3 linked regions of the Macaca fascicularis genome follow. The protein of the gene in region 1 purifies or fractionates together with the protein of each later gene. This does not show direct contact. Links are inferred from orthologs where the notes say so. Each region holds a gene or a part of one and is shown in the gene's direction. Other genes may lie near its edges.

Region 1 (3,655 bases):
GCTCGTGCCTGTGATCCCAGCACTTTGGAAGGCTGAGTCAAGTGGATTACCTGAGGTCAGGAGTTCGAGACCAGCCTGACCAATATGGTGAAACCCTGTCTCTACTAAATACAAAAAAGAATTAGGTGGACGTGGTGGCATGCACCTGTAGTCCCAGCAACTTGGGAAGCTGAGACAGGACAATTGCTTGAACCGAGGAGGCGATCTTGGCTCACTGGAGTGCAGTGAGGCGAGATCACGCCACTGCACTCCAGCCTGGGTGACAGAGCAGGACTCCATCAAAAAAAAAGAAGAAAAAGGGTGGCACGCTCCTAATCCTTTGGTATTGCAGTTAAAATACTAGTTTATAGTAATATCTGTACTATACAGTATCTTCTAGGAATACATAACACACAAATGCATACGCACACATACAAATGCATAACATATACAAATAAGTATATATAATACGTGTATATATCATTTAAGAGTATATGTAGCTGGAACCTTTGTGTCTTTTGAGAGAGATTAATGCCTGGAGTGATACTCATTCAACCAGTAGAAACAAAATTTATTTGAAGTCCAATTAAAGAACAACTCTGATGCTGGGCGCCATGGCTCACACCTGTAATCCCAGCACTTTGGGAGGCCGAGGTGGGCGGATCATCTGAGGTCCAGGAGTTTGAGACCAGCCTGACAAACATGGAGAAACCCTGTCTCTACTAAAAATACAAAATTAGTCGGGCATGGTGGCGCACGCCTGTAATCCCAGCTGTTTGGGAGGCTGAGGCAGGAGAATTGCTTGAACCTGGGAGGCAGAGGTTGCAGTGAGCCAAGATCGTGCCATTGCACCTCTAGCCTGGGCAGCAAGAGCAAAACTCCGTCTCAAAAAAAAAAAAAGAACAAATCTGGTGCTTTAGTTGGTAGCTGTTAAATCTTCGAGAAAGTCTGGGTCGTTCTTTCATCATAAGTAAACTCATACCAACAGATTGTGAACCACAAGAAGGATTGTGCGGATGATTGTCCTGCAGGGTTTTTTGGCTTCATTTATTTTCCACAGGTTTACTCATAAAGTTGCCTTGCCATCTTACATATTCTGCTTATGATGGATTTTCTGGTTTAAGGTAATAATGTAATTTCATTGCCTTTAACTGCTTGTGTTAAATTTCTTTTCTCTCAAAAATAATCACTACAGATTAATTGAAAATGGTTCTTGTGTGCTTTACAATCAGTTTATAAATATTGGAGCATATACTTATTTGTTCTTTATTATTTCCTTTCTCAATTTGATTGTTCCGGTCTCAACTTCTAAGATGAATTCAAAATTGGATCCTTAATAGTCTTTTAGTCTTTTCAAAATGTAGTAAGCAAATGTCAAACTTTTTGTTATAGAATATTCTCTAAGATCTGTTTATGTATTTTAGGATATTGGTGCTGGAAAAGGCAAATACTATGCTGTCAATTTTCCAATGAGAGATGGTATAGATGATGAGTCATATGGGCAGATATTTAAGCCTGTAAGTATTGTTTTCAAAATTGGAATGGAATTTCAGAATGTTATTGGAGATGCTAACATTTGTTATCTTGTGTGTAGATTATCTCAAAGGTGATGGAGATGTATCAACCTAGTGCTGTGGTATTACAGTGTGGTGCAGACTCATTATCTGGTGATAGACTGGGTTGTTTCAATCTAACAGTGAAAGGTAAGCAATTCAAAGGGTGGTATTCCCAGAAAAAAAATGATTTTTCTTCCACCTAAGAACTTCCCATAAAAGTTCTCATTGTAATTTCTTGCCTGCTGTTTTAACACTATACTCTGCATTTTTCCTGGGGTTTTGTCTGTTGTATATATGACTAGAGTTATTCTTGTTACATTGTGGCAGATTTATATGTACATTTATATATGACTAGTTTTTTAGTTTATTGTAGTTTGAACCCAAGGCAGCTATTTTCGAATGTTTTTGTTGACTCAGTGTCAATAAAACAATGCATACTTTATTACTTAATTGGATTATTCTCATTAAGGAAGAAGAGGGTTTAGCTCTCCTCACCACTTTGCCCACAGCATACTTGTAACCCTTCCCACATCTCTATTTTTTACAAATCAGAATTTGGTTGTGACATTTAGTGTTTACAGCAGCATCTTTAAACACTTTTCAGCTTATCCAAGTTTTCTTTGCCGAATAATTGTTCCTAAGTTTCACATTTGCTTAGTTTTCTCTCCACTTATTGCTAAACTACTGGTGTCTCAGTATCTCCATATGTTCAGATCCATTGAGTATTCTGTCACTTTTACCTTCTTGAAAAACAGCCTTCTCATCTGTTCATGTTTGGATGACTCTCTTTGGTAGACCTGGCGGGACATATAGCTGTTCTCTGCTTTTTTTCTATTGTATTGGTTCTTCCTGGTGGCTCTATTCTCTGTCGTTAATTTTTTTCTCATGTTTTCGTGGAGCGCCTTCTCAAGTAGCTTCCTGATAAAAAGTGTGTGGGAGATTAGGAGTGCTGCAGTACATACTAAATTTTGATCACGTGTTGAAGTCAGCATATGATGGAAGTCTAGGCCAAAGCAAAATATCACCATTCTGGAATGAACTTCTAGGGTGTAAGAATAAATCTGAAATTTAATAAGATCTTAAAATTTATTTGTTGGTTAGAAATGATTTTTATCATGAGTGTTTGTGTATGATTTTAGAGGTTTTTTTCCATGTGAACTTTTAGGTAGCAAGTTGATACTCTGCTTTGTATTCTCTAAGATGTAGAGAATTCTCAGATAGAACTTTCTCCAGAACAACTGCTGGTCTTAATGGAATTGGATAACTAAATACAGATATTAAAAGCTTCTTTACTTAATGTTACGATTGCTACTATACCAGCTGTATTAGAATTATGGTATAGTCTGTTATTCTACATTAAGTTAAATGATATTAAATTAATTGTCCCTTTGTAGGTCAGCAGTGGTTGAACAGCATGTAACTTAATGTGTTAATAACCATCTTTTGCCTCAAAATGTTTATAAACTTTCTTTTTTTTTTTTTTTTTTTTTATGAGACGGAGTCTCGCTCTGCCGCCCAGGCTGGAGTGCAGTGGCTGGATCTCAGCTCACTGCAAGCTCCGCCTCCTGGGTTCACGCCATTCTCCTGCCTCAGCCTACCGAGTAGCTGGGACTACAGGCGCCCACCACCTCGCCCGGCTAGTTTTTTGTATTTTTCAGTAGAGACGGGGTTTCCCCGTGTTAGCCAGGATGGTCTCGATCTCCTGACCTCGTGATCCGCCTGTCTCAGCCTCCCAAAGTGCTGGGAGTACAGGCTTGAGCCACCGCGCCCGGCCTATAAACTTTCTAAAACGATCTACCTGATGTACTCTTAAGAGTGTGTATTAACTATCAGTTTTCCTGTTAGACATGAAAGTCCTTAATGTTTTTGTACTTAATAGTTTTTATAATCATTTCACTCTTAGAGAAAAATTAACGTTGTATTTCAGCTAATAGTGTTTCAGTTGTATAAAGCATGTAAGGATATTTGTAATTCCCAAGTGTTAAACTTCATTCTGAGTTTCTCTACTGCCAGCTTTGATTCAGCTTTTTCTTTTTTTTTTTGTTTTTTTTGTTTTTTTTTTGAGACGGAGTCTCGCTCTGTCGCCCAGGCTGGAGTGCAGTGGCGCGATCTCGGCTCAC
Region 2 (3,655 bases), on another chromosome or scaffold:
TTGTTCACCGTAGCTGGGGACTGAGAACAGAAAGCTAAATGAATTTCAGAGTTACACCTATTGCTGGAGCTTCAACTAAACACTTGCTTCATAATAGATCTGAAAGAGAATGAACAGGTTTGAGTTTATCCCATATTCCTTGCATACTTCCTGAGTTAAAAATAATAGATGAACTCCAGCGTGCCCCAAGGTACATCAGGAAGGGGGCTAGAAATTTGTTTTGGGTAGTATAAGACAAAGTGTCAGTCTCCTAAAAATTAAGAGTTTAAAGAAAATTGAGGCCAGGTGCGGTGCCTCATGCCTATAATCAAGCACTTTGGTAGGGCCGAGGTAGGAGAATCACTTGAGTCCAGGAGTTTAAGACTAGCCTTAGCAATGTAGGGAGACCCCATCTCTACAAAAATTGAAAAAATTAGTTGGGCTTGGTAGCATGCCTCCATGGTCCCAGCAACTTGGGAGGCTGAGATGGAAGGATCCCTCGAGCCTAGGAGGCTGAGGCTGCAATGAGGTGTTACTGTGCAGTCTGGATGACAAAGCGAGACCCTGTCTCAAAAAAAAACAAAAAATTGAATCTATTTAAGTAAAAGAGTACTTTACTGATTATTCCTCAGATAGAAAACTTATCTTTGTAGTAAACATGAAATACTTTATATAATTTGTTGGAAATACTTTAAAATTTATTTTCCAATTTTAAAAGATTGTTAACCATACATATGTATTACTTGTTCCAATTCAAAAAATATAAAAGGATATGTAGTGGAATTTAAGTCTAACTTCCTTAATGGCTCCATGTGCAGTAGAAATCACAAACTACAATGTATTTTTACACAAATGGGAATATTCCTTTGTTTTTTACCTAACCATGTATCTTAGAGATTGTTTATATGATTTACTTTAAGTATTGCTTAATGTATTTTTGTATTGTTCAATTCCCCCGACTCCCTGCTCTCCAGATAAGTTTCTTTAAGATGGGTTCTGAAAATCTTAATGAACAACTGGAAGAATTTTTAGCTAATATTGGAACAAGCGTTCAGAAGTAAGTATTTTTTTCCTTAAAATTGAAAATGAAATGATGTGAATGATAGCTTAACAGCTCAGTGATATAATGTAAAGATATTTATCATTTAATTTCCTGAGTGAATATTTTCCCTGCCATGAGAGTTTCTTATATGGTTCATGGTTACTTCTTGTTTTTTTTTTTTTTTTACCTCTTTTTTCCATAGATTGTGAACTTCGAATTTCTTAATGGTGATAATTTGATTCTAAACTCAGTTTTATGTCTGAATAAAACAGACACATAATAGTAATTCCCCATAAGTGAAATTATCTTTAAACTTGAAATTGTGGGAGTTTAATGGGAGATTACTAAATATTGTTTCCACGCCATGAAAGCTTAAAGACAGAGAGAAAGCAGTTCTCATCAGGTTCAAAATGCTGAGCAATATATGTGGTCTGTCCACGGTATGGAGAGAGATGAAAGTGATTGTTGTTTTAAAGGCACAGGACCTCTGTTTTAAAGGCGCAGTTTGAAAATTATGCCAAAATCAGGGATTCAGTGGGGCTTCATTCATTTTTTGAATTTAGTATTGTTTCCAAAATATCTAAGTTTCAAATAAACTGTAAACCTGTTTTAAAATGTATTTGTGTTGTTTTAACCACGCATGCCACATTTCCTCTCTTTAAGAAAACATATCCAAAACAAATATGCAGGTAAACATGATTAGTAAGGAGTTCTACATTGATTGTGATTTATAGTAAATAATCTGTTCTGTATCAGTGTTCGCAGGGAAATGGACAGTGATATAGAGACCATGCAACAGACAATAGAGGATTTGGAAGTAGCCAGTGATCCCTTATATGTGCCTGACCCAGACCCCACCAAATTTCCTGTTAATCGAAATTTAACCCGAAAGGCTGGATACCTTAATGCTAGGAAGTAAGAAAACTATTGTTATTTTTGTATATTGTATATCATGTAAGACAATACCAAATGAATATAATAAATAATTGATGTCTGTCATATTGTTTTGATTTTTATTAAAGGTTGAAACTTTTTAGAGGTGTTAGTATTATGTGAACTTTTTGACAGATGAGGTACGTAAATACTTTTCAGAAGTAAAATCCTACCTAGCTATTTATTGAATAATGTAGAATGATAAAAGAAGTGAAACCAAGGCTGGGCGTGGTGGCTCACACCTGTGATCCCAGCACTTTGGGGGAGACCAAGGCAGGTGGATCACCTGAGGTCAGGAGTTCGAGACCAGCCTGGCCAACATGGTGGAGCCCCACCTCTACTAAAAATACAAAAATTAGCCGAGCATGGTGGCTTATGCCTGTAATCCCAGCTACTCAGGAGGCTGAGGCACAAGAATCACTTGAACCTGGGAGGCAAAGGTTGCGGTGACCTGAGATCGCGCCACTGCACTCTAGCCTAGGGGACAGAGTGAGACTCTTGTCTCAAAAAAAAAAATGAACTGAAACTAATTTGAGTTTAAGTAAATATTCACATATGGTATCATCACATGAGAATGCTGCGAAATATCATTTATCATACTTTAATATATTTGTAATTATAGCACCAAGTCAAATGTTAGTTTTCACCTGATGATAGGATGAAGCAGGTTAACCCTAGAAATAAAATAAATTCTATTGTTTTGAATTTACTCCCTTGGAAGTTGAACTATAACCTGTATTTTATGGATCGTTATTATAACAGCCACAGTTTGATAATTTCCAGCCTTGTTTTGGAAACTGTATATACATTCACAAAAGTGAGTCAATATACATGAATTTATTTTAGAGACTGAAAGCATATTTATATTTATTTTCTTGGCATCTTGGTGCCTTTTCGGAAGCCAGTTCTTTGTAACATGCTTTATCTTGTGTCTAGCTGATGATGAGATTCAGGTATGTTGTTATTAAAGAGTGAATGTGCTTTCTTCATTTAGTAAAACAGGCTTGGTGTCATCTACCTGGGACAGACAGTTTTACTTCACGCAGGGTGGAAATTTAATGAGTCAGGCCCGTGGGGATGTAGCAGGAGGCCTGGCCATGGACATAGACAACTGTTCAGTGATGGCTGTGGACTGTGAAGACAGACGATATTGTTTTCAGATCACCTCTTTCGATGGAAAAAAGTTAGTATTTTTTCCTACTACTAATTATCTATAATATTTTAAACTTCTGAAATGTGGGATAATTCCTTTTTGTTTAGAAATTTTATGGACATTTTAGGTTCATATGTATTAAGATAAATTGCTTTTTAATCTTGTAGAAATATATTGAATTTTTGTTTCTGACTTGGTTAAATGGTTTGTTGATATTTTGAGGTTGTCAAAGAAATGTCATATAGTAAAGACCTGTGATTTCATGTTAGGGAACTGGAACTGAAAATCCTGTGTAGCATCGGGGAATACAGAACAAGTTCATGGAAAGAGTCCTAAACCTGGAGTCAGAAAGTTCAAATTCTGGATCCATTACTTACTCTGTGGTCTCAGACAGCAGAGTAATGTCTGTAACCCCTCTCAGCTCCATTTTTGTTCATGTAAAATGTGAGTGGGGGGGGTTGTAATCCCTACTTCGTAAATTGTTGTGAGGAACAGAAATTCTAACATATGTAATATGACTGACATACAGTAGGTGCTAACAACAGTGT
Region 3 (3,655 bases), on another chromosome or scaffold:
CTTTTAAAAAAAACATGTTAGTGTGAATATCTTCAAATACCAGTAGTGGATAGAAAATGAATTTTTTTTACTTTTTCTTTTTTACCAACTGATTCACAGTGTCCTATGCTGAGGTTTAGTTGCAATTACATGTAATGAAATTGAAAATTTTATTTTTTCTTTTAATCTTTATTGCAGATTCTGATGCTCACAGTACCACCTCAAGTGCCTCCCCAGCTCAATCTCCTTGTTACAGTAACCAGTCCGATGACGGCTCAGATACAGAGATGGCTTCTGGTTCTAACAGAACACCAGTTTTTTCCTTTTTAGATCTCACATACTGGAAAAGGTAAAAGAAACAGAAAATATCTCTCTAACCAGCAAACCATCTTAATTACAGGCAGTGTTTTCCTACTTTCTTAGCAATTAAATGGCATTTGGCAAACAGTTGGTAACACACGATTGCAGTGGATTAAGCAGGAATTGAGCAGAGAAGTGGGATTTTGTATGTTCTTCCTATTAAAATTTATTTAAAATAAAAATCACATCAAGGTACCTACATTTCCTATTGCTAGATAAGTGGAGTAGAAAGACAATATGCAGTGGAGAGAATCAGTGAAACTAAAAGTTCGTCCTTCAAAAAGACGTGACCAAAAAAGTACTAGAGATAAAGTGGATCAGGAAAAGGAGATGATGATACACATAAGCAATTTTAGGAGAGAGAAAAGAGACTTAGGTATAGATAAAGCAGACATTTAAAAAATAGGATATTATAGACAACTTTATGCCAATAAATTTGAACATACAGGTGAAGCGGGTACAGTACTAGAAAAAAGGCATCTTGCTAAAGCTGTCTCAAGAAAAAGTGAAAAAACGAGATAATCTCATAATAAATTGATTCGGGCCAGGCGTGGTGGCTCACACCTGTAATCTTAGCATTTTGGGAGGCCAAGGTGAGGGGATTGCTTGAGCCTAGGAGGTTAGGGTTGCAGTAAACTATTACTGCACCACTGCACTTCAGCCTAGTGACAAAGCAAGACTATTTCAAAAAAAAAAAAAAAAAGCCACAATATGCAAGTTGTACTAAACATCCAGGAACAGATGATTGGGGCCTATGCACTGGCTTTTCCAGACTGTGGATAAAATAGGGCATAGGCCCCAAGCATTTTTAAGGCTGATATAAATTTGATACCAAAACAATACATCATCTACCACTAGGGTTATTCTAGGTATGTAAGATTGGTTTTTGAACATGAGAAGATCAACTAATATAATTTACCACATCAGCAGTTTCTTTCTTTCCTTCTTTCCTTCTTTCCTTCCTTCCTTCCTTCCTTCCTTCCTTCCTTCCTTCCTTCCTTCCTTCCTTCCTTCCTTCCTTCCTTCCATCCTTTCTTTCCCTCCCTTCCTTCCTTCCTTCCTTCCTTCCTTCCTTCCTTCCTTCCTTCCGTCCTTCCGTCCTTCCGTCCTTCCGTCCTTCCGTCCTTCCTTCCTTTTTGAGATGGAGTTTCGCTCTTGTTGCCCAGGCTGGAGTGCAATGGCACGATTTCGGCTCACTGCAACCTCTGCCTCCCGGGTTCAAGCGATTCTCCTGCCTCAGCCTCCCAAGTAGCTGGGATTACAGGCGCACGCCACCATGCCTGGCTAAATTTTTGTATTTTTAGTAGAAAAGGGGTTTCATTGTTGGTCAGGCTGGTCTCGAACTCCGTACCTTAGGTGATCCACCCGTCTCAGCCTCCCAAAGTGTTGGGATTACAGGCGTGAGCCACCGTGCCCAGCCCACATTGATAGGTTCTAAAGAAAGGTATTGTCTTCTTAGTGGTGCAAAGAAGGAGTTTGACAAATTTGAACTTTCCTTTAAGGTTTAAAACAAAACTTCTAGCAAAATAGGAATAGAAGGAAACTTTTTTACTTAGACAACAGGAATCTTACAAAAAGTACCAAAGTACATAATACATAACTGTGATAAAAAGAAAGCATTTTCTCTATGATCAGGAACAAATCAAGAGTGTTGACTATCACCATTTCTATTCAGCATTATACAGAATGTTCTAACCAATACAATATTGGTAGTAGCAGTGATAGTGGTAGTACCAGTAGTAGTAAACGCTTTAGAACAGTGCCTAGGGCATAGTATGAGTACTTTATAGATGGTTTAAATATATGCATTTATTTAATCTTTTTTTTTTTTGAGAGTTTCACTCTGTAGCCCAGACTGGAGTACAGTGGTGTTATTTTGGCTCACTGCAATATCTGCCTCCTGGGTTCAAGCGATTCTGCCATTTCAGCCGCCCAAATAGCTGGGTCTACAGGCATGCACCACCATGTCTGGCTAACTTTTGTATTTTAGTAGAGATGGGTTTCGCCATATTGGCCAGGCTGGTCTTGAACTTCTGGCCTCAAGTGATCTGCCTGCCTTGGCCTCCCAAAGTGCTGGGATTACAGGTGTGAGATACTGCACCTGGCCTTACTTAGTCTTTACAACAGTTCTGTGAAGCATTATGTGAAAACAGAGGTACAAAGAGGAAGGAAGTACTTTGTTTAAGGTTACACAATAAGTAGAGCAGGATTTAAATCTAGGCAGTTTGGCATTAGAATGATACATTTTACCCTAGTGTTAGGAAATATAAAATAATGTAGTAGTAAAATATCAAAAACCCTTTGGAGGAGTTATGTAAAAATCATACAATATTGTTGAAGAACATTCATATATATATATATGTATGTGTGTGTGTATATATATGTGTGTGTGTATATATATACACAGAGAGAGAGAGAGAGAGAGTGAGTCTCGCTCTGTCACCCTAGGCTGGAGTGCAGTGGTGCAATCTTGGCTCACCGCAACCTCCACCTCCTGGGTTCAAGCAGTTTTCCTGTCTCAGCCTCCGGAGTAGCTGGGATTACAGGCGTGCACCACCACACCCTGCTGATTTTTGTATTTTTAGTAGAGATGAGGTTTCACCATGTTGGCCAGGCTGATAGTGAACTCCTGACCTCAGGTGATCTGTCCGTCTTGGCCTCCCAAAGTGCTGGGATTATAGGCATGAACCACTGTGCCTGGCCATTGAATAACATTTAAAGACACCTAAATAAATTGAGAGGTATAGCACATTCATAGATATTATTAAACTGACTGTTAGGGAGATTATCACTTTGTAGATTCAGGGTAATTGCAGTCAAAACCCCAACATATTTATGGAACTTGACAAGCTAATTTATAATTTATATAGAAAAGCAAAAGGCCCAAAATAGGCATCTTCAGAAGAAAAAGAAAGATGTCGATAAACTTTTCCTAACAGAAATCAAGACGTTATAAAGCCATAGTAATTAATGTGTTTTGGGACTAGGAATAGAAAAATAAACCAGTGGAATAGTATAGAGAGCCTGGAAACAAGCCCACATATGTATATAGCACTTGTTATGTGATACATGATGTGGGGGTGATTGATGGGCGAAAATGGTCTGTTCAATAAGTGTTGCTAGGATATTAAAAACAACATGGTTATTCATGGGAAAAAACTGGGCTTGGTTCCCTACCTCACACCGTAGACAAATACCAATTACAGATGCATTAAAGTAGAAAATAGAATATGACTTTTGAGTGGAAAAGGATTTTTTATGACAAAGTACTAAGCATTTAAAAAAACTTCCAGGTTTGATTACATTATAATTATGA

Evidence for each region.
Region 2: the proteins of HDAC2 (region 1) and APPL1 purify together in Homo sapiens (co-immunoprecipitation; 3 studies listed by BioGRID and IntAct, with this or other methods). This does not show direct contact. The link is inferred for Macaca fascicularis from reciprocal best matches to the Homo sapiens genes HDAC2 and APPL1.
Region 3: the proteins of HDAC2 (region 1) and SINHCAF purify together in Homo sapiens (affinity purification with mass spectrometry; 3 studies listed by BioGRID and IntAct, counting the BioPlex papers as one, with this or other methods). This does not show direct contact. The link is inferred for Macaca fascicularis from reciprocal best matches to the Homo sapiens genes HDAC2 and SINHCAF.

The regions. Positions count from the first base shown.
Region 1 is NC_088378.1:17,988,103-17,991,757, reverse strand, and holds part of HDAC2 (histone deacetylase 2), read left to right. Parts: intron 1-1,403; coding exon 1,404-1,496; intron 1,497-1,573; coding exon 1,574-1,682; intron 1,683-3,655. UniProt on the Homo sapiens protein: Histone deacetylase that catalyzes the deacetylation of lysine residues on the N-terminal part of the core histones (H2A, H2B, H3 and H4).
Region 2 is NC_088376.1:120,335,407-120,339,061, forward strand, and holds part of APPL1 (DCC-interacting protein 13-alpha), read left to right. Parts: intron 1-953; coding exon 954-1,036; intron 1,037-1,777; coding exon 1,778-1,936; intron 1,937-2,948; coding exon 2,949-3,137; intron 3,138-3,655. UniProt on the Homo sapiens protein: Multifunctional adapter protein that binds to various membrane receptors, nuclear factors and signaling proteins to regulate many processes, such as cell proliferation, immune response, endosomal trafficking and cell metabolism.
Region 3 is NC_088385.1:33,850,239-33,853,893, reverse strand, and holds part of SINHCAF (SIN3-HDAC complex-associated factor), read left to right. Parts: intron 1-177; coding exon 178-328; intron 329-3,655. UniProt on the Homo sapiens protein: Subunit of the Sin3 deacetylase complex (Sin3/HDAC), this subunit is important for the repression of genes encoding components of the TGF-beta signaling pathway.